Linked DNA regions of Tamandua tetradactyla. The protein of the gene in region 2 purifies or fractionates together with the protein of the main gene of each other region. This does not show direct contact. Links are inferred from orthologs where the notes say so. Each region holds a gene or a part of one and is shown on either strand. Other genes may lie near its edges.

Region 1 (10,476 bases), on a different chromosome or scaffold from region 2:
CTCAACCACCCTCTATGATGTATGCAAATTAATCCGTACAGATGTAAAAGTCTGCAAATGGTTAAAATGTCTATAGCTGTGTGCTACACACCAATCCTCCTCCTCCCTCTCATCAGTCTTTCCCCTCTATTCCACTCCACCTATGCCTTATGGTTATTGAAAAGAAATCTTTAAAAAGGTTCACAGCCAGAAGAAAATACCTAACATTAATTTTATCAATACATTTATTTAGCACCCATGAGCAAGTCATTGTGAAGGGTTCAAAGGACAATCAGATACAGCCTCTGGAAAGGAAGCTTAGAAGCTTTTTAATAACAAGAAGGAAAGTAGGGTAAAGAATTAGGAACAGAGTACTGTGAGAGTTAGGAATGTGGATAAATATTTCCAGAAAAGAAGATGGTTAAGATACAGGCAGAACAACGCGTGAAAACAATCAACAGGAAACTTCAACTCAATACTTACTCAACATCTTACTAAAAACAAAAAAGGCACTATGTGCAGCAGCTGCCTGTCAAGAAGATGAATAAGGTCCTTGAGTTTATCATTTAATAGAGGAGACAAACAAGTAACTATAATATAAGCCTGGAATGTGTTACCTGTCATAAGATAAATACAAAGGGCTAAAATTCATTCAATTAACAATGATAATCATGTAGACAGTCCTATAGTTGTAAAAACAAGATGACATCTGTCACCATAATACAGAAAGACATCAAAAGAAGTGGCATCTGAATTGTGTTTTGAGGGTGGTTAGGACCTGATCAAGCAGGTCCACATTCTTTGAGGAGAATGTGGAAAACCATGGCCCTCCTGGCTCTGGCTAGAATACAGAGTAAGTGAGGAAGGCAGGAGGAAAAACTAATGTGTATTAATTAGAACTTGAAATGCTTGGAAGATCACAAGGTGCAACCTAGGAATCCAGGGGACTCAATGAACAGGAAAGTTCATTTCTATAATTCACAGGCTCAATCTCAGATATGTATGCTGTTCTGTAACCTATATAATGGGCTGGTGATTCTCCTGGGCTAGCTCTCCCAGGGTACAGAAAATAGCACTCAGGGGACAAGAGAGCCAAAATTTGAGTGCCGAACATGTCTATATTTGTCAAATCTGAAAGGACATCTAACCTACCCCAAAATCCGGGATAAAATTTGATATATTTGAGCCACGCCTTCATGAGACAGGTCACTGAAGGTTGTAAATATGTAGGTGGTTTATTTCATTTGGACTGTAATTAGAATAGCTTCTATTTAATTTACATTTGGTAAATTAGCACATCATTAGAGGTAGATGAGGACAAGTGGTGGTGACAAAGATTCAATTTCTTGATGGAGTCACTAAAAAGTCCCACTTACCCTGCTAAATGAAAGTCAATGAAAGGAAGGGGGATAAAAAGATCCAAAAAGAAAAAGAAGTGAAAATTTTCCAGTTACTTCATTTAGTTTTTTTGGCCTTGTTGCCTGCCTGTACTCCAATGGCTCTAAAAATAGCATTTTATCACATCTTCTTAATGAGGCCCAATGTATTTTACCTATATTACTTCACTCAACAAGAAATAACGCCACTCAGAGATAAGACAAGAGGGAAATGACTCACTCAATGCCACTCAGCAAACAGGCGACTCATTCAACAGATTAACAATAGAAAAAAACTGCACATTAATTGTGTAAAATGGGAGGAGACCCAGAAAGGGGCAAGATTATATTTTTTAAGATTTTAACATCACTTCCCATCTATCTCCTAAAGAAATTAACCATCTTTATCCTACCAATCAACAGCTCTTATGCGTGCTTTCTAGTGTTCAGTGCCTGAACATCAACTGATATGCCTAACTCGAAAATTTATAAATACTATATGGTATGTAATATACAGTTTTCACTCTTTCTTGTGAGTCCACAGTACTAGATGTGGCCTGATCAACTATATATATTTCTAAAATGGTTTACTACTTTTCTACCTCAATAATAAAGTTGATTTTATCAAAGATGCAAAAAAAAAAACAACAACCAGGCCTACAAACTAGGTAAGCATGAAAGTCATTTAGCAGTTAAATTATTCATTATCATCACTACACATTCAGTCATCTCAATGAAGAGATAATGGCCTTTACTTAAGTCTGAACCCTATGCAGGTCAGTAGAAGCACCCTTTGCGGGCCCAGGTGTCAGGCAAGAGTAGTAGTCACAATAGCAGTTATGTTTTAGAGATTTAATTATTCTGCTATCCATCAACTTTACTTCCTAGTAAACTTATCAAAAGTGCGAGAAAAAAATGTGAACAAAAATCAAAGGAAGCAGAGGGATGAAGATTTAAGAAATGGAGACAGTCAAAAAAATCTATTTGTGCCTTTTAATATAGCATACTCTTGAATATCAAATGGAAGTTACCTTGTTAACCTTTAAAAGTACCAAACTGGTATAGGGAGCACAATCGCAAATATCCGAGTATTGAAGATGACTCATAAAATCCAAAAATATTTCATGCTTTAGGCCCTCAAAATTACCATCACTTTAACCCCTTCCTCTCCTTCAATCATGTTTTTCTGAATCTAGCATAAAAAAAATAATTTTTAACTAGTTCTGGAAACTGTAATTAAAATGCAGTGAATACAGAAAACCACATGCAATTAGATTTTAAAGCACTATCATTCCTATGTTTGATCCCCAGACTTACTCAGTAGTTAAACACCTTGTGTTAACTATATGTATGTTTATGGGAAGGGTTGTTTAAGAGTGTTAACTGATATGAGAAGCCATTTTAAAATTGATCATAGCTGCTAAGCTCTTTGTTTCATTTTCTAAGAATTCCCAGTTTATAATGTCCTTTAAAGGCTGAAGTCTCTTTTTAGATGAGAGACAACTACTATGATGAATATCAAAACTTTTTAAATTATGAGTACAGGAAGCTAGAAAATTTAGGCCTGAGATTTTTTTACCACACACTCAAAGACATTGAATTGGATTTTACTGTATTTCTTTCAATTCTTTTGGAAATAATAACATTATACTTATTTTTTAGTAAATGGAAATACAATGAGTTCAGAATAGCCAACTTCAAAGAAGTATCAAAGATACGATTTTTCAATATAACTTATTCCTCCTATTGTAAGGATGTACATTATATAACTATATCCTTGAGAATATATAGCGTATATGTAATCCCAATTACGATATTTCACCAAAATAATCCACTACAAAAGTTGCAGAATAGCAAAGACTTGACTACAACAGTCGAATAAATTATTCTGAAAAGGAAAAATTACTCAGTAAATGAAAATAAAGCAAAAACTCACAAATGAAAATAAAATAAAAACTCACAAGTGACAGTATTTCTCCGAAAACAACCAAACACATTAAAAATCGAAACTACTAGGGTTTATTTTTTTCTAGTTTTCAAGAATACTGGGGAAGTCCAGTTCTGTGAATTATGCAAAGAACAGCAAATATTAAGCTGCCTCTGTATTTATGCTATTGTACTTCCATTTTTAAAACGGGCATCTCAACTCCCCAGATCATCATCAACAGAAACCATGCAGCTATCCAACAGACTTTCAGTGTCACCATTTATTATTTATAGCATTAAATGGGGGAAGTGGCTCTGATGTCACCGACCCTACCCAGTGGAATCACTGACTCAATAAACATTTTCACACTGGAGAAAAGCTGGCTAGGAAAATATTTTGTTGGGTTAAGTAGATTCTTTCACTTTCCTCCCAACCCTGGGATAGTTGTTACTGTGTTAGAAGAGATACAAAGAAACTGTAAAGGTTTCCACAGGAAGAAATCCTGGGTATGTCCGTTTGCTGAAGCAAAGACTTCCTGCCCCCAGCTCTTCAAAGCCCAGTTTGATTTCCCTAACGCTCAGATTGGCAGGTTAATACCTGCCATGTTTTACTTCTTCTACCAAGTCATCCTCCAATTAGCAAATGCCTCACCTCTACTAACCACTCTCTAAAGGTTCTGCTCCTAAAATCCCCTTCTAAGGCAGAAAAAGGTTTGGTGGTGCCCATGGGCCAGGGAGTCCGGTCTGGCTGCCAAAGGTTTATAACAGAAGAGTGATCACTTCCCCAGGGACCAAGGATTCTTTTTTTTTTTTTTTTTTGAGAAGAAAGAACTGGCGGTAGTGATAAGGTCGGATCCCTCCACCCCAATTTCACAAAGCAGCTCCGGAAAACGTTAAGTTATGGTTTTCCTTTCCCGGGGGATAGAATCCTGAGTACCTGGGGCCTGGCCATGCATACATCTCTCTCGGCCGGGTAGGAAACCCTTTGTCCAAGAAGCCGGACACCACAGGAGCCCGGGAAAGAGGCCGCCTATCCGACACAGCCTCAAATCAGACAACTCCCCACCCCCCAGCCCTGCAGGGCCTATCCTGGCATCCACACAGCCCCAGACTGGGGAGAAGGTGCCGAGAATCCCCTCCTAGAACGCAGAGGCCGAGGTCCTTGACCCATCTCCTCCGTACCCCCTCCCCACCACAACTCACTCGGCCTGAGTGGGGCTTTCAAGCGAGGTGCGGGCCTGGGCCGGAGAAATAGAGGGACCGAAAAAAAAATCCCACTTCCAGAAGAGAACGAGATGCTAGAGCGAACGTAGAGCTAAGGAAAGAGCAAAAGCGAGCAAGGGTCGTCCAGCAGATGGGACAGGGGGCGGGGAGGGGGGGGGCAGAACTGAGGGGCATGGAAGGGGCCGGGCCAGGGCCGGCCTCAGATCTCAAGGGATTCCGAGGAGCTGCGTAGAGCCCTAGGCCAGGGAAGGCTGGGGGCCCAAGTCAGGGCCCAGGCGGCGAGAATGGACCAAGGCCGGCCTCGCGCCGGACGTTGAAGGGGGCAGACCCGTTCCGGGGCCGGACGGAGGAAAAACGGACCGTCCAGCGGGCCGCACTCACCATGAGCTCGATGGTCTTGTCCTCAATCACCGAGTCGGGCTCCATGGCGGCCCCGGCAGCCCCGCCTCGCTCTCCCCGCGCAGCAGCGAACGGCTCCGGCGGAGGAGGCGACGGCGGAGGCGGCACAGGCGGAGGCGGCTATCTCACCCACTCTAGCTGCCAGCCCGCCCGGGCCGCCGGCAGCTCCGCCCTCCCCCTCCGCGAACGCAGTACGCAGAGGGGGGACTACAGTTCCCAGCAGGCGCCGCGGTCCCCGCGGAGCGTTGTGGGAACGGGAAGCCGGCACCTGGCCAAAACTCTCCTGGTAGCATGAAGGTGAATTCCGGGCTGAACGTAGAGCGGGACTTTGAAGCGAGACTTGCAGAACTGAAGAACTGAACTCAGCGTAGAGCCTCGAGAGCGCACCAACTACATATCCCAGAAAGCCCTGCGCAGGGGCGCTCCTTCCGGTTACTTTCTCCTGATTTCCTGGGAGCCCAAGGCTGCCCAGAGCGGGACGGAAACTCCGGGGCAACTCCTCACTTGTCAGAGAAACTGCGTGAGCGGCCGATTTCCGCACATGCGCGGTCGGTGGCCGCAGTGCCCGCTGGACGCCTGGGTAGAGCCGCGGGTGTGGGCGGTGGTAGGGGCAGATGCTGAAGACAGAATGATTCTAAGACGCGTTAAGGAGGGATGCTGGCCTCGGGGGTTAGTTATGGGAGGGCTTGGTGTGCGAGAGAAGCTTAGACGAGGAAGGAAGCTCTGAGAGCATAGTCCTCCGAGAAGTGAGGGATTTGGAGATTTCTTTCAGTACAAGGAGATTTATGAGATGTGCTGTGGTGCCATCCGTATACAACACGAACTGAAAGGAGCTGGGAGATATATATTGAGCACCTCTTTTCATTCATTCATTCAGAAAATATTTTTTTAAGCAACCAATTTCTGCCGGCCCCACCCTAGGCACTAGGAATCAGCTCATGAACATGGCATCCTGTTTTCATGGAGCTTAATGTCACGGGGGGTGGGGGTGGGAAGGGGGGGCGGGCACGGGGCTGGGGGCCAGACACAGGAACCAAAAGAATGATGCTGAAGAAAGGAACATAGCTGAAAACCTGGAGACTCCTTCCAGTGAACTCTGCCACCAAGTCTGCGTGAACTTTGTCAGGTGTGTTGGTGTTCTCCAGCCAAAGGCCATCAGGAACTCAATCGTAGTTAAGCAAGTTGGGTTTATTAGTCACAGCGAAGGAGCCTGCACACAGTTGGGAAAACGCAGGGCTTCTCAGGAAGAGTTGTGTTAGGTGATTTGGGGGGAGGTTTAAGGAAACTGGGGCTTTACTCAGAATTAGATGCTATCAAGAAATGGGGTTAATTCTGTGACTGTGCATCTCAATAAATCTAAGCTGGAAGGAGGGAAGACTGGACGGAGGCCAAAGCTGTAATTGGTGAAGAAACCGCCCACCCTCATATTAGCCAAGATGGAAGCTGTGTAGTCATTTTTGTGGTTTGGATAATGTTCTTGTTTTACCTATATTCAGGCATGATTATGGAGTGGTCTTGTTTCTGTCTTGATCTAACACAATCACAGAATTGCCTTGTCTGATGCTGATGTTCTGTGAAATTGTTTAGGCTCAACAGAGCACAGGACCTAGCTGGGACTGCCAGGCTATCATCTAGTAACATTATAGCCTGCTAATTATACTAGGCCAGCTTCCAAGTATCAGAGGCTGCTTTTCTCCTTTTCCAGTGTTTTTGCATTCTCTACAGCTGTAAGATGAGGGGCCTGGATGACCTAAGAATTTCTCCCTTTCCAAGGGCCAAGTTATTACAGTAATTTGTGTGCATGCAGGCAGGACACAACTTAAATTCCCTGCGGCTAGGGTTTGAAGTTTCACAGTTCTTTTCTGGTGCTTTTCCCCAACCGCTAAAAGAAAAGCAGTAGGAAGAAAGAACACAGGGTTGGAAAGTTATTGCCATTAAATTGCTGTATGAACTTTACCCGTTCCCTTTCCCTTTCAGGGTCTTGGATATTCATTAGTAAAACAAGGGGATTAAAACTAATGATTTCTGTTTCAGTTACCTTTTGCCACATAACAAACCACCCCAAGACTTGGTGGTTTAAAATAACAATGGTTTATTATTTTCCACAACAGGGTGGGTTGACTGGGCTCAGCCAGACAATGCTTGTGTTCTGCATGGTGGAAGCTAAGGTTACTCATGCTGTTACATTGCATTCAGCTAGGAGCTCATTCAGAATGGCTACTCATCTTCTAGGGTCTCTCTTTTCCACATGACTTCTTAATGTTCATTATCTTGCCCAAGCTTCTTTACTGCGTGATGTCTTACTTCCAGGAAAGCAAGCCCTAATGAGCAGATGCTTATCAATCCATTGCTTGTACCATACTTTTTAATGCCCCATTTGCCAAAGCAAGTCATATGGCCAGGCCCAAAGCCATGTGGGAAAGGACTAATTCAGTGTGTGAATACAAAAAAGCATGGTTCTTTGGAGGCCACCAGTGTAACTACCAACTAAGACCTCTGAGGACCTAGCTCCTGCCACAGAACCTAGGACACAAGGCATATGGCAGGAGTCACAAGCCGAATGCAATCCTCTCATATGTTTATTTATCCTAAAAAGCTTTTTTATTATTTTAAAGTTCGACAATCTCATACTTTTTAAAAATCTAAATTTCTATCCTCTCGTGAAAACTTATAATCTCACTCTTGAATCTGCATGGCAACAATCTTGCAGGGCCTAGGTAAAAATTACCTTCTTTATATGAAACATGTACTCTGTAGTATTCCACAGTCACCACCACTCCCTGTGGTCTTCTATCAGCATACTTGGCTAATTTACGTATCTTGAGTTTGCAAACCCTGGCATCGGAACTGCAGTGGATATAACCAAAGATTTCTGACCTTTTATTAAAATCATATGGTACCTTACGAGGCATGTCTATACACTTAGACTGGATTGTATGATGTGTGAATAAAAATGAACAGAGAGAAATAAATGCTAGAGAAAATGCGGAGAAAGACATGTACCTATTCACTGTTGGTAGGAAAACTGAGAGTTACAGCCCCTTGGAGGGCAGTGTGGTAGTTCCATTGGAGGCTAGGGGTGGGGTTGCTATATGATCCTAAAATCCCATTGCTCAGTATATACTGGAGGAACTGAGAATGGGGACACAGGTGGACATTTGCACACTGGTGTATATGGTGGCAGTGCTCACAATCCACAATGGATGGAGGCACCTAAGGGTACAATGACTAAGGAATGAAAGGGGAAACCAGGGCATATACATACAGCGAAGTACTGAATGGCCTCAAGAAGAAATGAGGTTGAAAGGCGTGCAACTAGGTGAATAAATGCTGGAAACTGTATGATGAGTGAAATTCAGAAAGAGAAAGACAAATATTATCATACCTCACTCGTACTGACTGACTATGATACCAAAACTTGGTGAACTGCTGTCAAGAGCATGGGTTATCAGGTTGGAGCCTATTGTAAAGTGTCCTAGATTGTAAGCTCTTACACCAGTCACATATTTTCACGAGTTGTAAATGTTATTTCTAAATTCTGAGATACTGAACTCAACAATATTTATAACCTGATGGTTCCCAGAAACCAGGTATTTATGGCACCTGAGACTCAGAATTAGAGCTCTGAAGCTATGAAAGTCAGCAGTATCCCATACAGAAACTGTTTAAAAAGTTGAAAAAGGACTCTGACTTCAAGTAGAGATTTGACGCTGACTTGGACAGCACTGAGGTAAATCAGAATACAGGGTTAAAGGATGATACTGTCCATATTTTAAAACTTCAACTTCTGTGTGAGACCAAAGGGAAAGATGTTTATTTGGTGCAAAATTTATATTTTGGTGAATTGAGTAGATTGAAATACTAGTGGTCAATGAGAGGGACAGGTAAGAGGTATGGCATGTATATTAGCTGTGATTCTCTAGAGAAACAGAATCAGCAGCAAATGTCCATAGATATAAAATTTATAAAAGTGTCTCATGTAACTGTGGGAATGTAGAGTCCAAAATCCATATAGCAGTCTGTGAAGCTGACGACTCCAATGAAGGGTCTGGATGAACTCCACCGAAGAGGCTCACCAGCCAAAGCAAGAAGACAGCCTGTCTCTTCTGATTCCTCCTTAAAAGGCTTTCAGTGATTCTATCAAACATCATTCATTGCAGAAGACACTTCCTTTGGCTGATTACAAATGGGTGCAGCCGATGTGTTCATGAATTAATTATATGAAATGTCCTCATAGCAACAGACAGACCAGTGCTTGCCCAACCAGACAGACAAGTACCACCACCTGGCCAAATTGACACATAAACCTGACCATGACAGTCCACTCCTTTTCAACTTGGCAGCTATATACATCACCTTAAACCATACTTAATTTCTAAACAGAAAACAATAAAAGACACTTGTTTTCCTTACCTAACAATACTCAACTGTCCTGTGTATAACTGGAAACATCAAATCTCCCCAGAATAGGATTCAAGTCCTTGGGTAATATTCATCCTTAAATTTGATGTCTTACAACTTAAATACTATAACATGAACAAAACAGCATTACAGTCCTCTTTTCTGTAACTGATCATGTAGTCATAGTTCATATTTATCACTACCTTCTTCCACTACCCATTTCATGTTTCCATTACCCTCATCAAGCTCTTCAGCTGGCCATGATTCTTTGTCTGGTGGGGTGACTTAAACCTTCATTCCTGAACTTTCAGAGCCATTGGTAGTCCTGCCTGGATTGGGTTGTTTCCATTTTCCATTAATTTTAATCACAGGGCATGGTAGTTCTAGAAGATGCTCTAGGGGATCTCCTATATTCCAGGAAAACTCTTCTTTATCTCCATTGTGTAGTTGCAGTCCTATTTCCCCCGATAGTCAGGGTCAGTCACCCCAACCAGTAGTGTAATCCCCTTCTTGGCTTGTTGATCCAGGGGCATGAGTAGCCCAGTGACCAGGTGACAGTCTTAGATTCCAGTTCAATGGAATCAATGTTGTTTCTCTTGGTAGGAGCACTTCCCCACTTGGAACTAAAACCTGTAGACCAGCAGAGCTCAAGGTTGCAGGGACAGGAAGCAAACATTTTCTTAGTGGATCACTAGGAGTAATAGTGAGTGGTGCCACTTCCATTTCCACCCCTTGATTCCTGGACCCATGGATCCTGGCTAAGGGAGAAACAGCACCATACAGTGGACGCTGAGGTGGAAGGCCCCTGTATTTTTACTGGATTTATTTCCCATCCTCTGGCATGCAAATGCCTTACCAGTGAGTCTAGAATAGTTGCTACTTCTGCTCACTAGGTCCAATCAACATGATATCATCAATATAATGGACCAGTGTGATGTCTTGTGGGAGGGAGAAATGATCAAGGTGCTGCGGACAAGATTATGACGTAGGGCGGGAGAGTTTATATACCCCTGAGGTAGGACCGTGAAAGTATATTGTTGAACTTACCAGCTGAAAGCAAACTGTTTCTGGTGGCCCTTACTAACAGCTATTGAGAAAAAACCTTTCTCAATATTGAGAAAAAAGTTTGCCAGATCAATAGCTGTATACCAGGTACCAGGGGATGTTTTTA
Region 2 (10,574 bases):
GCTCTCTTCTGCTCACCTTTCGGGTTTTAGCTTAAGATGCCACCTCCTCCAGGAAGCCTCCCCTGAACTCGAAAAGATGGGCACTATTAGCTTCATCCTAGATGAAGAAACTGCATAACAGAGGTTAAGTGACTTGCCCAGCATCACACAGCTAGAAATTAGGGGAGTTGGGTTTGAAGCCTGTGCAGGCTGATCCAGGGCTTTTACCATCATTGGTTCCTAAACCAGAGGTTCTCAAAGTGTCTTCCCTGGACCAGCAAGATCATCAGCAGGGAACCTGTTAGAAAGGCTAGCTCTCAGGTTCCAATCCAGACCCACTGAATTAGAATCAGGGGGTGGGGGTGGGGACTTGGGAGGCAGATCAGCAATCTGTGTTTAAACAAGCCTTCCAAGGGATTCTGACCTACACTGAAGTTTGAGAACCACCAGCCTAAAGAAATTTTCTGCAGTTTGGCCACCTGCTTTTCAGCCCCTCCCAGCGGAGCCCTTGCTAGGACTTGCTGGAAAGCATCACAGCTCAACACTGTCCACCCTCTCACTCTCTAACCATTTGAAATGTTTCTCTGGAAGTTTTATAGCTCTGGGACTTTTGGTGGGGACCAGGAAATTGTCATCTTCTGCCTTATCATCAGTGTGTTAGTGACTCACTCTTTCCTCTGTTTGAAGGCTTTTTGTTTTATGTCCATTATCCTTGGCTGCAAACACTTGTTCCAGCAACACTTTAGAACTCAAGATGCTTTCATCCCAAGCTCAGACATGGTCATCAGAATACCCACCTTCTTCCAGTCACATTTTCAGTTCATTAGGGTAACAGTCTGCAGTTTCTCTGACAGCAGAATCTACTTATCTCCAGCATACAATCATTTTTTAAAAACCAGTCCAGTCAGCTGCTATTACTTTGAATGTAAACTTCCCAGTGTTGACCTGGTCCTCAAACTTTCCTGCTTCAGCTTTAAGAACTGGACTAGAAACAGTGAATCCTAGAGAGTGAGCTTAAGTAACCCACTGGTAAAGAGCTGAATCCAAATTTCTGCTATTGAGCCTCAGCTTTCTTCCTCACTGCCTCCAGCATCCTGGCAACCAGACACCACCCTGCCAACCAAAGACTGAGCAATGCTTTGGGGAAATCTGACCAGCGCAAGATAAAAATCCAACAGACACCCTTCCCCGGTGAAACAGCATGGCCAGATCACCCCAAAGGAAAGACCCCAGCTTGCAGGTCTTTCCCACCCCCACAGACTTTCCACGGAGCCCACTGCAGGCTCAATCTCTGGGGCATACAGCCAGGTATCATCAGATATCTGAAAAAGTATCTCATATGAAAGACAGACCAAAAACAAACCCACAAAAGAAAGCAAGGGAAGCAAACTGAGGCTGTGCAAGAAGAATACTTAAAAACAAACAAGCAAAAAACAACCATACATTAATATCCTTAGAGTGAGAAAATATTTCCTCCACAAAGTAAGAACTAGATGCTATTTCTTTTTCAAACAAGACAAGAGTACTTGGAAATTAGTTATATTTTTACAAAAATGAAAACTTTAACGGAAAGTTGAAGATAAAGTCAAGGAAATCATCTAAGGCAAAGAGAACAGAAGCTAAGAGATAAAGAATGAGAACATCAGAGAGCCAGTCTAGGGATCTAAAATAGAATATTAGGAAAGTGAGAACAGAGGAAATAAAGGGGAGGAAATTAAAAAAAAAAAAGGCAGACTATTTCTCAGAATTGAAGGACATGTGTTTCCAGAAAGAAAGGGCCCAAGTTCCCAGCACAATACAAAGGAACAGACCACACTGAGAACCACATTATCCTAAATTTTTAGAACAAGGAGAAGAACCTAAAAACTTTCAGAGGGGAAGAACAGGTTCCATGCAAAGGTTTAGGAAATCACCCAGTCCTTTTTAGGGTAGTCTTAGGGTAGTCTCTGGCCAGGTGAGTTTACTATTTTCCATTCTTGAAATGATCTAGCGCATTTCATTTTTCACTTTTTCCAGGCAGGGAAAGCCTTCCTCTTGCAAGATAATCTATCATGGTTAGGCACTATAGCAAATTTTATAGGCACTATATATTAGTGAAAGGTAAGCATTATATTAGTCAGGGTAGAGACTCACTGCCATAACAAACGGCCACAACAAATTTCACTGGCTTGAACCACTAGAGGTAATTTCTTGCTCACATCCCATTCCAGTGTGGGACGCCAAAGGGAGCTCCGCCCGCCTCTAGGTCTTACAGTGTTCTCCCTTGGGCTGCCAAGTGGGGACAGAGTGGGAGGTTTTTAGGGTCCAAGCTTGTTAGGAGAAGCACACCACCTCGGCTCGCATTTAGTGGCCAAAATTCAGGCATGTGGTTCCCATCAAATTGAGAAAATTAAGGGGGGCCCATAGGCCAGACAGAGAGAAGAACATGGACATTGGTGTCCCCCAGCTGTCTCTGCCACATACCACATTAAAATTGCCTCAAGAGCGGTGCGATGGTAGCTCAGCAGGCAGAATTCTCACCTCCCGTGCCTGCCCATGTAGGAAAAAAAAAAAAAAACTGCTTCAAAATCAAATCAGTGATAGATCCTTAGTCAGCCAAAAAAACCACGGCTCTGTCACAAAAAGCTACAAAATAAAAAATGGTGAAGCAGAAGTGCACAACTGTTACAAAAACAGATCTCCAGTGATATCAGGCCCTCACTTCCTGCCTCACCCCTCATCCCAGGTAGAAGGAAAGAACTTAAGACTTCACTCCCATCCACCCCAGAGAAGAGGGGCCTAGCAGTTGCACACTAATCCCAACCATTTTACACCTGAATTCATGTCATCCAGAGACTTGACTGTATTTGTTGAATTGACAAATGAACAAATGAATGAATGTCAGGTGCTGTGGGGGCCACAGAAAAGGAAGACAATGCATACGTCCTTCTCCAAAGCCTACCTCCTTCCACCAGCATCCTTCTCAACTCAGCTTATATATCACCTCCTCCAGGAAGCCTTCCCTAGTACCTACGCATACACACACACACACATACAGTGGGCAATATCAGCTCCCATCTGCTTGCTCTGTCTTTTGCCAGTTAGTCCATCTTGCTTATTAGAGTCTGCTGTTTACATGGCTGGCTCCCACCTAGGGAGTTTCTGAAGGTCTAGGGACCACTCTGGGCCTTGGTTTCCTCCTCTAAAATCAGAGGGTGGGCCTATGTTACTGCTCACTTCTCTGCAGCTCTACAGCCTGTCCAGAGGTCTCGGAATGACCACGAGCCCCAACACACTCGCTGTGAGCCAGGCACTGCTCTAAGCACCAGCACACATTAAGTCGCTCTAATCCTTACAGGGACACTGGGTGATAGATGGTAATAGCGCACCCATTTTACAGATGAGGAAAATGAAGATCAGAGAGGTTAAGCAACTTGCCCAAGGTCGCCGTGCAGGTAAGTAATACAGCCAGAATTCAAACCCAAGCTTCAAGTTGTTTCTCGCCGGTGGGTATCTCGGTCCTATTCTCCTGGACCAGGCACCCAGGACCAAGGACCCAGAAGTTGGCCTTCCAGAGAGCGTCCGCACAGGGCACATCTCGTCTCCCCCTCGCTGCCACGCAGTTCTCTGTCACACTCGCGTCGCAGCTGGGGTGGTTCCCCACCAAACCCCGCGCTCGCGCAGGCGGGTCTAGACCTGGGCGTACCCGGGCGGCCCCCGCTCCGGTGCCGCCACTCGAGTGTTAACGTCCGGCCCTTTGGCGCACATGTCCGCGGCGCCTGCCAATACCGCAGCAAGGGCGCGTCTAGAGGGTCCTCGAGGCTCCAGGAATTCGGGCTGACGCAGGCCTCGGGTTCAGGGACCGGGTGGGGTCTGCGGCTCCAGATTTCGCAGACGCCAGGAAGGCACGCTGCGCCCCCCTCCGCTGGCCCGGGAGGAGCCCGGGGCGGGACCCCGGAGTTGTCTCTCGCAGCCAGAAAGCCGCTATCGCGTGGCCACCCAGGCTGCCGTTAGCCTGCACGGCTCCCCATTTTACAGAAGCGAAACACTGAGCCCTGGAGAGTTTAACAACCGGAGGAGAAGCTCTCCACTGCCCACCCACCCCCCCACCCCCCATTCCTACGCTCCCCTTTGGCGCGGCCTTGGGCTCACTCCCAAGTGCCAGACCCACGGCTCTCGCGGCGCCGGCCTCACCGAGCGCGGAGGCCCGCGGCGCCTGATCCCCGCCCCGCAGCCAGCCCGGCCAGCACCTTACCTCCCTCGGGCGTGCAGGCGCGGCAGCCGCTGCTCACGGCCGCGAGAATCCAGAGGAGCTGGCAGATGCTCGCGGCCCGGTGCTCCAGGGTGCAGGGAGGGCGGGCCCCCCGAGGGTGCCGGGGAGCGGCGAGCTGGGCGCGCGGGGCTGATGGGTCGATCCCGGCGCGCGGGGGACGCGTGCCAGGGGCCGGAGAGCTGGCGACGACGAGCGAGGCTGGAGTGGCAGCAGCGACCGGAGCGCCAGCGTCGGATCCCGGCAGGAGGCGAGCGGCGGCGGGGACTGGGACTGGGGCTGGGGCTGGAGCCGGAGCAGCGGGCGGGGCGGGGCTGCGGCCGGCGGGCGCACGGCGCGGCACTCACGTGGGTGCCCCCGGCGGCGGTCCGGGTTGTTGCAGCCGCCGCTCTCTGCTGGCTGCTCCGGCGCTCTCCGGGTCGCCCAGCACGATAATAGGAGCCGAGTCCGCTGCCGGCACCCCCGGCGCGCTGAATGCAGAGCTAATGCGTGGGGTGGACCTGGCCCGCGGTGGCCAGGTGGGCGCCCTCCCAAATGGTTAATTCCAGACGGGGTGGCGGACACCCCTCCCCACCCCCACCCCCAGCCTTCCGGTCGCCTTTTTCCTGTATTCATTCGAATCCTTTACACAATTACTAATAAAACCATCCCGTTGCTTGTTGGAATGTTTCTGTACGTAAACTTAAAACATTTTAAAACGAAATAGCTTTGCTTTTTCTGCGTACTGCTTTGTAATGAATGACCTAGGCATTTGTGATATTTGCTATTAGTTGTGTCACTATTTGATTAATATTCCCTCCAGACGTTCCTTACCTGCTTTGTAAATTGCTGTATTCCTAATGCTTAGTACAGGGCCTGGCACATAGTAAGAGCTTGATAAATACCAGTGGAATGAACGAATGGATGAATGAATAAATATGGAGAGGTAAAAAGAAGAAAGGGAAATAAAACTAGTGTTAACTACTGTCAGTATTTTGATATATCTTTCTAGACACTTTTCTAGGAATAAAAATAATAATTGTGACATTTATTGAACTATCTCATCCCCTCTTCACACCGACCTTATGAGATAGGTCTCTTTGGCTCTGCTTTACAGATCATAAAACCCAGGCTTATAAAGACACTGGCTTTCCCGCAGTGATGCAGCTAGGAAGGACAGAACAGAACTCAATCCAGATTTGTCTGTTTTCAAAGTTTTCCGAGGAACACACATTTGTATGTTTAGTTATGTATAACCTCCATCACCACAACCCCCAAGTCTTCTCAAATGCCTGCTCTTGGCAAACAGTTTCTATTTTGCAGAGAATCTGAGTGTTTGGGGTCTGCTCATCGGAGTGTATCTGCCAGGGTGAAGCTGAGTTGCTCCGTGAAGTAAAAGGGGAAAGGAAATTGCAGGATGGGGTGGGGGTCAGGGGAGCAAAGTAGCAACTAACTGCTAGGCACTGTGGGAGGAGGAAGGGAGAAAAGGACTTCCAGTAGTGTCTAGTGGGGGTATGTAAATAATTTGGACTGTGCAAAATAAACCCCCTCCCTGTGCCCCTCGATGAAGCTCCTTTGTGTGGGTGAATGAATCCTTCCATGGCCCTGGAGAGAGTGCTGAGTTCTTTGTCCAGGGGAGCCCCAGGCAAGCTCAGAGACTGCAGGGTGCAGGGAGACCAGGAACAGAGACAGCCAACTCTTCGTTATATGTAGACCCCATGCTGTCCTGTGCATCACTCTCCTCCTCAATACAGGTTGTGAACGTGCTTCTGTGGCCGAGAGCCACCCTGTCATTTGTAATGCCTGCTTGAATGTGCCATTTGGGGACCTCATGATAAGTGCTGATATTTAGAGGACATTCGCTTTGTGGCAAGCACTCTGGTAATGGCTTTACAGGCATTATTTCTTTTAATTCTCATCACAACCCTATTATTGTCCCCAGTTCTTATATAGTGAAATTGTGGCAGGTTACATGACTTTCCCAAGATTTCACAGCTAGTAAGTGGCAGAGCCACATTTGAACCCAAAACTGTGTCTATCTTGGCTCTGGAGTATCTAGTCTAAGCCTCTATTCCTCAGTATTTGAGGCCCCTGAAAATTCAGATTCCCTTGTGGGAGAGCAGGCCTTCAGGTTTATCAGCTTCTATGCTATGCTCTCTGCTAGGAGCAGATTCAAGTTTATGATGCTTGGGTGTGGCAGCAGGGTGACATACAGGGGATTTTCATAAGGTGGGAAGAGAGGATGAGGAAGAAATGGGCCTGAAAGTCACCACTGAGTGTCTCACACTTTGACCTCTGCCCTACAAGTTTTGGGAAAATACAAAATCTAGAAATGCAATTTTGGTTTGGAGGGTTTGTTCTTTTGGTCATTTTGAGAAGACTCGTCTTGTTTTGGTAAAACCCAGAATTGCAGCTGAAATTCTGGCCCTGGAGAAGCTGAGCCAGAAGGAAAGTCAAAGACACCAAGCTGATCTGTTTAAGCCCAATGAAACTCAAATAAAGACTCCATAACTCAGAGCTCCGTGGCCTCAGGCAAATTACCTAACTTCTCTAAGCCTCTGTAAATGTGTCTTGCAAGCAGCATTCACCTCTCCTTCCGTGAACATCTTGATTTGCCTCCGGGAACCAATCCATTCTATTCTCAATTCCTGAGATTCAAATCCTTCCCCTCAGCTCTGGCTACGGGAGTGGACACATGATCAGAGCTGGCTAATTGCCACGTGCCATCCCTTTAGTCCCATTGATTGGTTCAGGGATGAGAAAGTGATCCAAGCTAGGCCAATGAGATTCTAATCTGGGACTTCTATTGTAACCACAAGTGCGATGGTTTGGAACTGTGTGTGCCCCAGAAAAACATTTTCTTAACCCATTCCTGTGGGTGTGGATCCACTGTAAGTAGAAGCTTTTGATGAAGCTAATTCACCATCTCATTCAGGATAGGGCCTGATCTTGTTATGGGGCCTTTTACAAACAGAATGAATACAGAGAAAGAGAGAGAAAGCTACAGAACCAAGAAGCCAAAATCAGTGAAACCCAGAAGCCGAAGTAGAGACCAGCAGATGCTGGTGGCAGACAGCGGGGTTGCCAGCAGCCAGTCTCTGGGAAGAAAGCATCGCCTAGATGATGCCTTGATTAGGACATTTCCACTGCCTCAAAACTGGTAAGATGATAAATACCCTTTGTTTAAGCCATCCCATTTCATGGCATTTGCTTGCAGTGTCCTAGAATAGTAAGACAAGGAAGAGAATTTTTCTTTCCAGGGAGTTGTTGAGCAGTCAGATGCAAGCCTTGAGTTTCTGGGCATTTATTCATATGGCAAATATTTTTTTAACATTTTTTATTGGGAAAGATAACACATTTACAAAAATGACAATACATTTCAAAGTACATTGTAACAGTAATTATAGAACAGATTTCAGAGTTTGGTATGAGATACAGTTCCACAATTTCAGGTTTTTCCTTCTAGCTGCTCCAAGACACTGGAGATGAAGAAATATCCCTATAATGATTCAACAGACATACTCATTTGTTAAATCCTATCTCTTCTGTTATAACTCCTCTTTCTCCTTTGACCCTTCTCCTAATTTTTTTTTAATGTTTTAACCATAAAGTATAACATATATACAAAGTAAAGAAAGAAAAAAGCAATAATTTTCAAAACATGCTTCAACAAGTAGTTACAGAACAGATCCCAGAGTTTGTCATTGGCTACTATTCCACCATCTCACACTTTTCCTTCTAGCTGCTCCTAAACACTTGAAGCCAGAAGGATTATTATTTTAGTGGTTCAACAGCCGTACTTGTTTGCCAAATCCTGTCCTCTCTGTTATATCTCCTCCTTCTTCTTTGACCCTTTTCCCAATCTATAGGGATCTTTGGGCAATGCCCTTTCTGACTTTTTCATGTTGAGAAGGGCTGCCAACACTAAAGGATAGGGGGATGTAATTAATTAATAATCTTGGAGAAGCTGGTCCCTCTGGGTTTCAGGATTTATCTGACCTAGGAACCTTCTGGGAATTATGGATTCCAGGAAAGCAAACCTAGTGCATGAAACTTTTAGAGAGTCTCGGTTCAAGCTCTAGGTATTCTCAAGAGTGAACAGGAGTGATACTGGTTGGAGTTTAGCAAACCATGACAATCAGTACTATCTAACTGAAGCTTGCATAAGAGTCCCTTCCTGAATAGCCTCTCCATACCGCTTGATCTCTCCTGGCCACTGATGCCTTATTTTATTACACCTCATTTCCTCCCCTTGATCCAGAAGGCATTGTCAATCCCACAGTGCTGGGACCAGACTCACCCCAGGGAGTCAAGCCCCACAGCTCACAGGGCAGATATTTATCAATTTTCTGTTGTGTGTGAAGTGTGGTACTGGGAGTTGGAGATAAATCCTGCCCTCAGGGAGCTGTGCAAAGGGTGAGAAAATGGAAAACAGAAGTCACTCAAACAGTCATTGCGCCATTAGCACGATAAACTGTGAGGCATGTGTGAGTGAGAAGTGGCAATGAGAGATTATAAAGGCAAACCCACCTGGTCTGGAGGTCCAGGAGGGCTTCTCCAAGGTAGTGGCCTTTAAGGTGAGTCCCAAAGGAGGGGTAGGGATCCCTGCCAGGAACTCGAGGGAGACAAATATCCCCAGTGACTTCAGCAGAGAGAAGTGGGGCGGGGCATGCTTTGTTATTGCTTGTTTCTCACTCACCTCCCTCACCTTCACACAAGGCTATTCTGACATTATTGGGGAGTTCAGGGTAACAAACAAAAATTAAATATGAAAGGGAATAAAATTAAACTGTACCTCAACATGACTGTTTCCAAGAGCAAAAATAGTTGAACCCTTCTAGGGAACCCTTCACAGGCTCAGTCCAGTTCCAAACCTTGCTGGGCTGTCCCGAGGCGGCCCCTCGCAAGTGGGTGAAGTTCCCCTCCTCAGGCTCCCAGCAGCAAAATCCCTCTGCTATAAAAACTCCTCTCCATTGCTCAAAGGGATTTTTTTTCCCTTCCCTTTCTCTCCACCAGAGTAATTCATGGGACTCACTAACCCACAGGATGCAGAAGTTACGACTGAGAAAGTGAAGCAAAAATTCAAAGAACAGGGAGAAAATATTTGCAAATCAACTATCTGATAAGGGACTTATATCTGGACTATATAAAGAACTCTTACAACTGAACAGCAAAAAGATAAACAATCTGGTTAAAAAATAGGTCAAGGACTTGAACAGAAATTTCTCCAAAGATATACAAATGGCCAATAAGTACGTGAAAAGATGCTTAAGATCATTAACCATTAAGAAATGCAAATCCAAACCAAAATAAGGTACCACTTCACAGCCACTAAGATGGCTATAATAATAATTTTAAAAGAGGAAAATAAGTGTTGATGAAGATGTGGAGAAACTGGAACCCTCGTGCATTGCTGGCAGGAATGTAAAATGGTGCAGCCGCTGTGGAAATCAGTTTGTCAGAGCTCCATCCCTAGGTATATATTAAAAAGAAATGGGGTGGGGTGGGGGGTAGGGCATAGACTAAATACACCTAAAGAGTCGGAGAAAGATCAAAGGTGATGGTGGGGTTATACACAGAAAGTACGGTATAACAAATGATTGCTGAATCATCATATTGATCTTTCTTTTAGTCTCCAGTAATTTAGAGCAGCTAGAAGTAAAAATCTAAAATTGTGGGATTGTAACCCTACCAAACTCCGAAATCTATTCTACAACTAATTGTTGCGATGTGCTCTGAAAGTGATTGCTGTTTGTATATGTGGTATTTTTCACACAAAAAAAGGAAAAGTCCATTGTGATGATAAATGCATAGCTATATGACAATATTGTGAACCACTGATTGTACACTTTGGATGATTTCATGGTATATGAATATATAACATACATTAATAAAAAATTTTAAAATAATAAGAAAAAAGAAATGGGGGAGGGGTGCAAGGGTAGTTGTTCTAGTTTGCTAGCTGCTGGAATGCAACACACCAGAGACGGATTGGCTTTTAAAAAAGGGGATTTATTGGTCAGGCCACGGTGGCTCAGCAGGCAAGAATGCTTGCCTACCATGCCAGAGGACCCTGGTTTGATTCCTGTGTGCCTGCCCATGTAAAAAAAAAAAAAGACAGGATTTAAAAAAAAAGGGGGGGGATTTATTTTGTTAGTTCTTCAGAGGAAAGGCAGCTAACTTTCAACTGAGGTTCTTTCTTACATGGGAAGGCTCAGGGTAATCTCTGCTGGCCTTCTCTCCAGGCCTCTGGGTTCCAACAACTTTCTCCAGGGTGATTCCTTTCTGCATCTCCAAAGGCCTGGGCTGAGCTGTGAGTGCTGAGATGAGGTATGCTGAGCTGCTTGGGCTGTGCTACGTTGCGCTC
Region 3 (10,273 bases), on a different chromosome or scaffold from region 2:
AGCAAATAAGAAAAGTCTCTAAATCATACTTATTCACCTCAATATAGTTCTACAGTGACATAACATCATGAGATCACATTAGTTCTTTTAGAAATTAAGCTCAAAAATGAGACACCTACCACACATTCCTAGAGTTAGTACCTACAGACCTGGCTAATCCCATTTGTATGGAAACATACAAATACAATCAAGAACAGCCAATTACATTAATATATATGGTTGTCAGTCTCAAAAGAGAGTCCCCACAATTCCCTCATCTCTGTTTATAGATGCCACACTTCACGTCAACAAGCTTCTCTAACTCTGGACTGGCCTTGATTGGCTTTGACAAATTCTGACAAATTTTGTCCTTCTGGGACTTCCAAATCAAGGATTTAAGAAAACTGGCAGATTCTTTCTGTCTCCTAGAACTCTCTTTCTTGAATCTAGCTACCATTCAAGCAGCCACATGGTGAGAGGCCATTAGCCCTGGTGAGTAGCCTTACCAGCCAGTGGCCTGCTAGGTAAGTATGGCCATTTTGGACATTCCAGCCATACTAGCACCCCAGCCAATACCAAGTAAAGTCCAGAAAAACTACCAGTCAATCACAGAATCGAAGGAAACAATAAAGAGGGTTTTTTTTTTTTACTAAATTTGGGGGTAGTTTGCTATGCAACAATAGTTAAGCTTTTATACTGTTTCAGTTATCTACCAATTCTATTTTTAAAATATTGTATTTTATATGTCTTAAAATTATTTTATCAAGTTTCAAGTGTTTCCCCCGTTCTAAAATTCTAGGAATAGTTGGACAAGAATATATGTATACTGTCCACTTTTTCAAATAAACTTCAAATAAAATTCATTCCTTGGCTTATCTACCCATCCTACACCTTTTATATATGTGTGCCTCATCCTCACAATCATTTTAGTTTCTCTTCTTGGGTCTTCTTCAAGTTCCCACTTATCTTTCTTGAGGTATCATGTTTTTACTGACCACAGATATATTAGAAAAGGTCCTTGAGGACCTGCTAAAGCTGAATGAGAGTAGATTAGCATATGGGTCATTTAATGTAAACTACTGCTTTAATATGATTTATTTGTTTTTAGACCCTAATATTCTGCTTAAAGCTTTTTTTTTTTAGGGGGTGGTGCATGGTCCGGGACTTGAACCCGGGTCTCCCACATGAAAGGTGGGCATTCTAACCACTAAGCTACCCATGCACCCCTGCTTAAAGTATTTTTCACAAGTAGATAAGGATAAGCTTTAAGTCTAGATCATATGTGACTTAAACAGCCCACTATGGATTAGTAGTCTCATAATAAGATTTTATTGTAAAATTCCTAAACAAAGCACTACATTAATGTGGTCATGACTAAAATTCGTCAAAGAGAGTATTCATTTCCTATTGACATTTTAAACAAATTTTACATCTTTCTAAACTAGAGAAATCAAGGCATTTGTACAAAAGTTATGATCAGTAATTCACAATTGAGGGAAAGGATAGCAGCCAGAACAAAGTCAAATACTACACAAAAATTCCAATTTGATTAAAAGGCTAACCTTTCCATATGTACTGTATACTAATTGCTTGGGGCAAGCGCAAATAAATTATCTTCCTATCTCAAAATTCATTCTGAATAAACAAGCATGTTATAGCAGGGTGGATGGGACCAAATGGACTTACTCAGATTCATAATTAGAGCGTTACTGAGCTGAAAGAGAAGACCGTATCTCTGGTTCTCCGAGGTCTGCTTCAGTTATTAAGGTGTCATTTTTGGTTACCCTCTTCAAGTTGGCCTTTTCTCAAACAACAGCCACAGTGACAAGTAAGATAAAAAATGAAAGTCAAATTAAAGAAAAACTGATTTCTCCCTATGGAAACTGACTCAACATTTAATAATGTATGGTACCCCAAAAGCTGTGAACTACGACATGGCCATTTCCAGGTCCAATATAATTCAATCACGAGCCCATTATGGAAACATGTCTCACTGGTACAAAACAGAAATCAAGCAGTTGAGAATGTTCATAGGCTGAGGTCTAATGGGAAGTTAAGAAAATGATCTCATAATGTCTCTTTATGATCTATAAATCACATTATTCCATAAATGTGACACAGTGTCAGGATGAAGATTAAGAGTCAACCCTCTAAGCAGGGAAACAAAAGTAAGCATCTGCCACTTTTCTAACTGAAAATAAATCTAGAAGCTGGGTAACGAAATCAAGCAATTTCCTCTACTAAAGTCCAAAAAAATTTCAAGTTTCTCTTCAACATTGGGCAGAAATTCAAGAACCTTCTTCAAGCTTAATGTATTCTTGTTTTTGATAGTCAAACTTTAATCAGGTGTTTCTGAAAGACCTAACACAAAGACTTTGTAAACTGGACCAGTCTCTTGAACAACATTTTTGTAAATGGGGCAGTTTAAAGCCTAAATTCAATCCAGGTTAGTGATACATGTTTATTTAGATTTGAAGTTGTTATACTATTTCCAGCAAGGGTACAAAATAGAAACTATCTAACAAAGGAATAAGGTTTGGAGTGCAGGTTACAATTACTTTTGAAAAAGTAAGACTTGACTGCAAATGACACCCATGTCCCTAAAGCCACCTGCTAAACTAGAAATCTATGTATCCCCTCACTCTAGCTGAAACCATCAAGTCTGGCTTTACACTTAGGATATACAAGAAGTATCAGATTAAAAGCATCAAATATCAGACTACACAAATTTCCCAAACATAAGCATAGAAAAAGAAAAGCATGATACAAAGTTAAAGAAATCGGCTCTAAAGCAAGAGTTTCCAGCACACCCACAAAATCCAATCCATGCAAACATTGTGCTTCAACCTAAAACTGATGGGTAACCAACCCCCCATCCTGATTTACCTCCCATTCTCTACTACCTACAACCCCACTTTCATTTTCTGAATTTCTCCACTCTTCTCATTGCTTCTTAGGAGTCTTTGCAATTCTAATCTACATGCCCTTTCCTTTCCCAGAACATCGTACAGGTCCCCACCCCTACAGTTCACTACCTCCACAATTTAGCTCTAAGTTTTGTTTTACCTTATTAGATCTTAATTTTCCCCCAATCTCCTATACCCATATTTCCCTGACAAATCAGCCTCTTGCTTTTCATCACCTTATTCCTAATATATATAATATTATATATACAGCCTTTCCTTTCTGAGTATATACCCCTTTTCCTGTCATTTGTAATTTGGCCCACAGTCAACACCACCCTCCTTTCCCAAGGGCTGTTATCATCGCCCTAGGTCACCATCTCCATCCTTATCTTCCTAAATAAGGCCTCCTCCTTTCCAGAGTTTGTCAACACTAGTTTGGCTTAAGATAAGATTTAGCCTCAGGGCAAATGCTATCTCCCACTTCATTCTACAATTCTACACGCCTCCCAACAGCCCTGGTTTCCCTCCTCCACCCTTAGATCCATCTTCATCTAGGTCTGCCCATTTTCCACCTACCCTCAATATCTGTCCTCCCACCCACCCGCGCTCCGCTTCCCCACGCTGGAATGTACCTTCTTTCCTGGGCCTTATCCGTGACCCTGACACCGGGAAGGCCCTGCCAGCGGCCACGCAGAGTCTATCCTCCGAGCTTTCTCCGCTCTTCAGTAACTGTCCCCACGCCCCTTTCCCTCCAGGGCCCCGCGCGCGGCCCGGAGCCCCCTCCCCGATTAAGCTCCCCGCTGTCACTCGGCCTCTCATCCACAAGATGGCGGAGCTGCTGCCCCCACCCCCGGGTCTGCTCCGCAACCCCCTCCCGCCTCCCCGGAGCTCCGGTCCCGGCCCTCCAGCCGCTTCGGCTGCCGGCCTAGGCTCGGAGTGCCCGGGTCCCTTCCCCCGGACGGCGGGCGGCCCAGGCCCGACTCCTAGCGACGCCACCAACGCCACCGCTTCCACTGTTCCCCGGCCGGCCCCTCCTCCTCACCATAAACTTGAGCGCTTTCTCCTGCAGCACCGCCTCGGCCGGGTCCATAATCTCCCGGGGCCGCTGGGTCTGCTCTCAACCGGGGCCGCCCCCTTAGTGCCAGGCCTCAGCCAACGCAGCGCCCGGATCCCGCCTCCTCTTCCTTCCCCCGCCCTCTCTTACCTCTTAGGCACCGGCGTGGGGGGGGTCAGGGACCCCCCCCGCTTGTGCTGTGCGCATGCGTAAACCCTGTGGCTCAAGGGATTTGTAGTTCTGGAGCTTCCCGCTGCAGTAAGTGAGGCAACCAAGAGTCCCGACTCCCGCTGTTCATTGCCGCAGGTTTGCCTTTGTCGATAAGCAAAGTTTAGACAACTCGTGGTCAACTAGGGAAAAACGGCTGATGGGAATTGTAGTTCACAGCCTCTAGGATAGAAAACGGGAGGATGCACAGATTATCTCCGTGGTTAACGTGCGACGCCGGTGGCGGCTTGCTTAGCATTTGCCATCAAGATGGTGGCCAGAAAGAGCCTCACCAGTAACCCACATACTGGGAAAAAATGTTACAAGACTCGGGGGTGCTAGGACCTCTCTAACTTTCAATGTGGAGAGCTGGTCAAACCCAAATTTCATATATCTCACTTCTGCAGGAGGGATTGAGACCCAGAATTGCTGGCTCTATGGGCACCTGGCAGCACCTCCAACCCACTACTAAATTTAAAAGTCTACCCAAACTGTCACTCCACACCTCTCCGAGGAACCTAGTCTCTCTCACAACAAGACAGGGCCAGGCAGAACTCAAATGAGAAAATTCTCTGGTGTTTAGAGCTCAGGTAAGTCAAATTTAAGCCCCATTGAAACCACAAAGAAAATATCTAAGAAGTATGCACAGAAGGAAATGAGAAGGGATTCTAAATGGGTCACTACAAAAGATCAACTAAATACAAAAGTAGGCAACTAATGGAAAAATTGAAGGACAAAAGAGGTATAAGACTTACAAAAGCCAAATAGCAAAATAGCTCAAGTCCTACATTTTCAATATTACTTGTAAATGAATTAAACTCTCCACTTAAAAAAAAAAAAGAAAAAAACTTTTGTAGTGGTTTGGAGCTGTATGTACTCCAGAAAAATATGTTCTTTAAGTTAATCCATTCCTGTGATGTGAACCCATTGTAAACAGCCTTTTGATGAGGCTTCTTCAGTTAAGGTGTGACACACCTCATTCAGGATTGGTCTTAAGCTTATTAGAATCCCTTATAAACACAAGCAAGACAAAGCGAAAACCACAGAAGCAAGAACCTGAAAACAGGGAAAGAGAGAAGACAGCAATAAGCAGACACCGCCATGTGCCTTGCCAAGTGGCAGAGGAGCCAAGGATTGCTAGCAGTCAATCTTGGAGAAGAAAGTATCTCCTTGATGAAACCTTGATTTGGACATTTTCCCAGCCTCAACTGTGAGCAAATAAATTCCTATTTTTTTTTTAACTCAACCCATGGTATTTGCCTTGAGCAGCCTAGAAAACTAAAACACCTCTGAAGTTGAACAGTCACTTTTTTTTACTTTATTATCTGTACGAGAGTATGAAAACATTGCCTGATGAAGCTGGCGGTCAGTGACAATCCTCACTTTGTCCAAGCAGGTACAGATGAGGATTAGTAAAGCAAATTCAAAGAGTTTTTGTTTAAAAGCCCAACCAGCTGGGAATCTAAGCAGAAAGTCAGTTGGCAGAGGCAGTCCACAGAAAAAGTAAATCCTCCTTCTTTAAAATGAACCAGTCATGGTCAGGCAAACAGAAATCCAAATATGAACTGTCTTAATTTTTAAGGAAAACTCAGGTTTTAGGAAAGATCATTGGACTGGAAGTTGAGAGACTTGATTCTAGCCCCCACTTTCATCAGTTAATTGGTAGACTTTGGGTAATTAACCAAACCACTTTGGCCCTCTCTTTTGTCATCTAGAAAACAAAGTTCTCTGCCAACTGAAAACAGTATGCATCTATGAGCTTGCTTTTGGCACAGTTGCTCACAGAAAATACTGAATCATTAGAACCTTTTTAAAGCTCCACTTTACTGGAAAACTGGACTTCTAACATGAAAAATCGCTTCTCCTAGATTCCTTGCTCCCATTCTCCTAGCTTAAGAGCTGAGAGTACTATTTGACCCACCCTTGTCCTTTAGCTTCCGTATTCAACCAGTTATAGATATCAGATATCTCTTTCAGTTCTACCCCTTTTTCCTCCCCCATAGGCAATGTTTCCTTTTTGTTTGTTTATATGGTTCTTGCAAAATAGATGCTTTGTATGCTATATTTTTAATTCACAGATGTAATTTTGTTTTATATGTATCTCATTGTTTCATACATTTTGCACCCTGTACCTATGGTTTTCAAAAACTCTTTCCTGGCGGAGCACGGACTTCCATGTCCTGACCAGCCACCACCAGGAAAGATCTGTTCACTACGACAGCCAGAACTAAAGCATTAGACCTGATGACCCCATTGTGATTTTAATGAAAGTCTAGCTTGGTAAACAACATGGTCTTCCTATTCCCTGAGACACAACAATATTGAAATTAGACCAAATAATAACCCTACAATGTGCTCTAAGAGTTAAGGTAAAAGGAAGAGTCAATTGATGTAGCAAACTTCATTGTTGTCCTATTTTAAGAAATTGGCACAGCCACACCAATCTTCAACCACCACCAACCTGATCAGTCAGAAGCCATTAATTGAGGCAAGACTCTCTACCAGCAAAAGGATTATAATTCACTAAAGGTTCAGATCGTGGTTAGCATTTTTCCTGGGTTTTTTTGTTTGTTTGTTTTTTATTTTGTTTTGTTTTTGTTATGCTGTGTGGCAGGCATCACCTTTCATTCTTTTTCCATATGGGTATCCAGTTATTGCAGCATCATTTGTTGGGTATTTGTTTCTTTCTTTCTTTGCTTGTTTGTTTGCTTTTCGGGAAGTGCATGGGCTGGGAATTAAACCCTGGTCCCCCGCATGGCAGGCGAGAATTCTACCACTGAACTACCCTTGCACCCCCTGCCCCCAAGTTTAGCATTTTTAACAATAAATGTGTTTGTTCGTTTGTTTTTACAGTTTTTTTTTAATTAAGGTATAAACATTGATATTTTAGACAAAATGCTACCACACACTTATAGACTACAGTACAGTTTATAAACATAACTTTTATATACACTAGAATACCAAAAATTCATGTGACTTGCTTTATTGCAATATTCGCTTTATTGCAGTGGTCTACAAACCAAACTGGCAATATCTTCAAGGCATGCTTGTGCAGGTAGAATGCTTCTTCTCTTCTTAAGATATTGATCATCTTCCCATGAATCTTTAGGGGCAGAAAAATTCTGGAAATAAAAAAACACTGAGCTTTTTATAATGATGTCATCCAAACCGCCTCTAATTGTAACTACGGACACCATATGTTCCATATGTTCAGTTAGACATGATAAAAACCAATCTTAAATTTAAATCTTAAGTAATATAATAAAGCCTTTCCCCAGTAAAAAGAAAAAAACCTTTCGTGTTTCCATGTGTACATCTAACTTGTTGCTTCTAACTGCTAATATTCTGATGATGACATCTCCCAAGTTTTACCTATCCACTCTCCAGCAAAGCCTCCAGAATCCAGTTGCCCCAAATAGCACTGTAGTGACCCACTGCCTACATGTCCCATGAGTAAGAGTATCTTTGGGAATTTATACCCACAACCATAATTACTGGTTTGTAGCCTAAGGATACCTAATTTGACTATGTGGTGCCAAATCACAGTACAGAAAGGCCATAACATTCTCCAATTCCATGAGCAGTGTGGGAGGATGTCACTTCTCTGTCACCATTGGAATTATCTAACTTTTTTTGTTGCCAGTCTGCAAATTATCGCTTCTCTAGGTAACCCTCAACTCATAATGATCTTGCCTTTCTTTAAGCACTTGAATCTGCTCTTCTAAACCTCACCCCCCAGTATGCGTTTGGTGATTAACAAATAGGCCAAAGCCAGAAATATTCCACACATGCCTGTGCTTTTTCCTCTTCCCTTAGCATCCCCTCTCCTAAATCTGGTAGGATTCTCAACCCTAACTGCACAGTAGAGTCACTTGAGGAGCTTTATAAACAATGTTGATGCCCAAACTCTACCCACAGTCACACACCTCTGCTACCACTCAGCTATTCTGATTGAATAAGATCTGTGGGTGGTCCTGGGTGATGGTTGTTTTAAAAGACCCGCAGGTGGTTCTAATCTGCAGTCAAGTTTGAGACCACTGCCTTGGCGTTTAGGTGTCCAGTGCCTTCTTGCTGACCTCTGCTATCTAGAGTCCCCTTCCAAGCCTAACTTGCTTTCCAAATTCTAGGAAATTCTAGAATTACCTTTCCCTCCCCTCTCTAAAAAACTACATTTTCTAAGGATTGCCAAGGGCTGCCCAAGATTGACTGGAAGCAAAGTCATTATCTAATTTTAAAACAAACAGTAAAAAACACCATCAACTATTTGAATATCTGATAGACTTAATCCTAGGGTCAAGAGGTCCAGAGGAAGTGGGAAAGGTTATTTACATTTCAGTCAGATAGAGAGATACACTTTTAGCTGGGCCCTAAAGAAAGAGTGCCACACACATACACACACACATACACACACACATACTTCTCTTCATTTCCCTGTCCTCATTAAGACTCACTCCTCTAATGTCAATAATGCAGGGTGTTGAAAATAGATAGTAATTAATATTTTAAAACTTGACCATATGTGTGAGACAAGCAAAAAATGTTTACTTGGTACAAAATTTATATTTTGACTAGTGCATTTCCTAATATAACTTATGTGGACAGCTTAATCGAACACCATAGTACTTGGAACCTTGCATAGAGCATGAGATTTTGTAGGTTTGTCCAGAGTGATGCCCAAATAAATCCCAGAGCGATTTGAACAGTGAATAGGGAAGTCATTGCAAAGTCCCCTTGGGGGAATAGTGAGAAAGGGGGAAAATTTAACTTCCCCAAGTGGAAAATTCTTGATATTCTCACAGGCAGTGGAGACAGCCAAAGCAATAGGCCGAACCTCCAATCTTGGGGTTTGTTCATATGAAACTTAATCCCGCAAAGAATAGGCTCCTTAAAATTAGGCCTAAGAGTCACCCCCAAGAGAACCTCTTCTGTTGCTCAGATGTGACCTCTCTCTCTCGGCCAATAGCAAGAAACTCACTGCCCTCCCCTCTCTATGTGGGACATGACTCCCAGGGGTGTGGACCTTCCTGGCAACATGGTACAGAAATCCTAGAATGAGCTAGAACTCAGCATCAAGGGATTGAGAAAATCTTCTCGACCAAAAGGGGGAAGAGTGAAATGAGACAAAGTGTCAATGGCTGAGAGATTCCAAACAGAGTCAACAGGTTATCCTGGAGGTTAGTCTTACGCATTAAATAGGTATCACCTGTTTAGTTAAGGTGTCATGGAGAGGCTGGAGGGAACTGCTTGAAAATGTGGAGCTGTGCTCCGGTGGCCATGTTTCTTGAAGATAATTGTATGATGATATGGCTGTGTGTGGTTGTGAAAGCCTTGTGTCTGATGCTCCTTTTGTCTACCTTATCCACGGACAAGCAAAACATATGGATTAAAAATAAATAAATAATAGGGAGAACAAATGTTAAAATAAATTTAGTAGATTGAAATGCTGGTGATCGGTGAAGGGGAGGGGTAAGGGGTTTGGTATGTATGAATTTTTTTCTGTTTCTTTTTATTGCTTTTTCTGAATTGATGCAGATGTTCTAAGAAATTATCATGATGATGAATATACAACTATGTGATGATAGTGTGAGTTATTGATTATATAAGAAGAATGGAATGATCATGTGATAAGAATGTTTGTGTTTGTATGTGGTTATGTATCATAAATAAAAAATAAATTAATTAAAAAAAAGAAAATTGATGTAACCCATGTCAAAGTCTGAAATATGTGCAACAACTAATGGTGGTGCTGTGCTTTGAAATTTATAGCTTTTTTGTATATATGTTAGTTTTCACAAAAAAACAAAAAGGAGGAAAAAAAGTCGATTGTGATGATAAAAAAGTATTTAAGCCCTTTAGCCTCCTATATTCTGGAGCAGCTAGAAGGAAAAATATGAGAGGGTCTGTAACCACTTGTTGAAGAGTGCTTTGAAAACTATTGCTTTTGATTTCTTTGCTTTGTATATATGTTATACTATACAATAAAAAAGTTTAAAAATAAATAAAAAGAAAAAATATATTGGGTAGATGGAAATACTAGTGGTCAATGAGAGGGAGGTATAAGGGGTATGGTATGTATGAGTTTTTTCTTTCTTTTTATTTCTTTTTCTGGAGTGATGCAAATGTTCTA

The links.
Region 1: the proteins of EEF2K (region 2) and FBXW11 purify together in Homo sapiens (affinity purification with mass spectrometry; 7 studies listed by BioGRID and IntAct, with this or other methods). This does not show direct contact. The link is inferred for Tamandua tetradactyla from reciprocal best matches to the Homo sapiens genes EEF2K and FBXW11.
Region 3: the proteins of EEF2K (region 2) and BTRC purify together in Homo sapiens (affinity purification with western blotting; 4 studies listed by BioGRID and IntAct, with this or other methods). This does not show direct contact. The link is inferred for Tamandua tetradactyla from reciprocal best matches to the Homo sapiens genes EEF2K and BTRC.

What each region holds. Positions count from the first base shown.
Region 1 is NC_135346.1:53,350,493-53,360,968, forward strand, and holds the start of FBXW11 (F-box/WD repeat-containing protein 11), read right to left. Parts: upstream 5,350-10,476; 5' UTR 4,932-5,349; coding exon 4,887-4,931; intron 1-4,886.
Region 2 is NC_135349.1:35,059,562-35,070,135, forward strand, and holds the start of EEF2K (eukaryotic elongation factor 2 kinase), read right to left. Parts: upstream 4,502-10,574; 5' UTR 4,214-4,501; intron 1-4,213. UniProt on the Homo sapiens protein: Threonine kinase that regulates protein synthesis by controlling the rate of peptide chain elongation.
Region 3 is NC_135339.1:62,879,152-62,889,424, reverse strand, and holds the start of BTRC (F-box/WD repeat-containing protein 1A), read right to left. Parts: upstream 4,083-10,273; 5' UTR 3,976-4,082; coding exon 3,928-3,975; intron 3,649-3,927; exon of another isoform or gene 3,518-3,648; intron 2,834-3,517; exon of another isoform or gene 1,676-2,833; coding exon of another isoform or gene 1,666-1,675; intron 1-1,665. UniProt on the Homo sapiens protein: Substrate recognition component of a SCF (SKP1-CUL1-F-box protein) E3 ubiquitin-protein ligase complex which mediates the ubiquitination and subsequent proteasomal degradation of target proteins. Recognizes and binds to phosphorylated target proteins.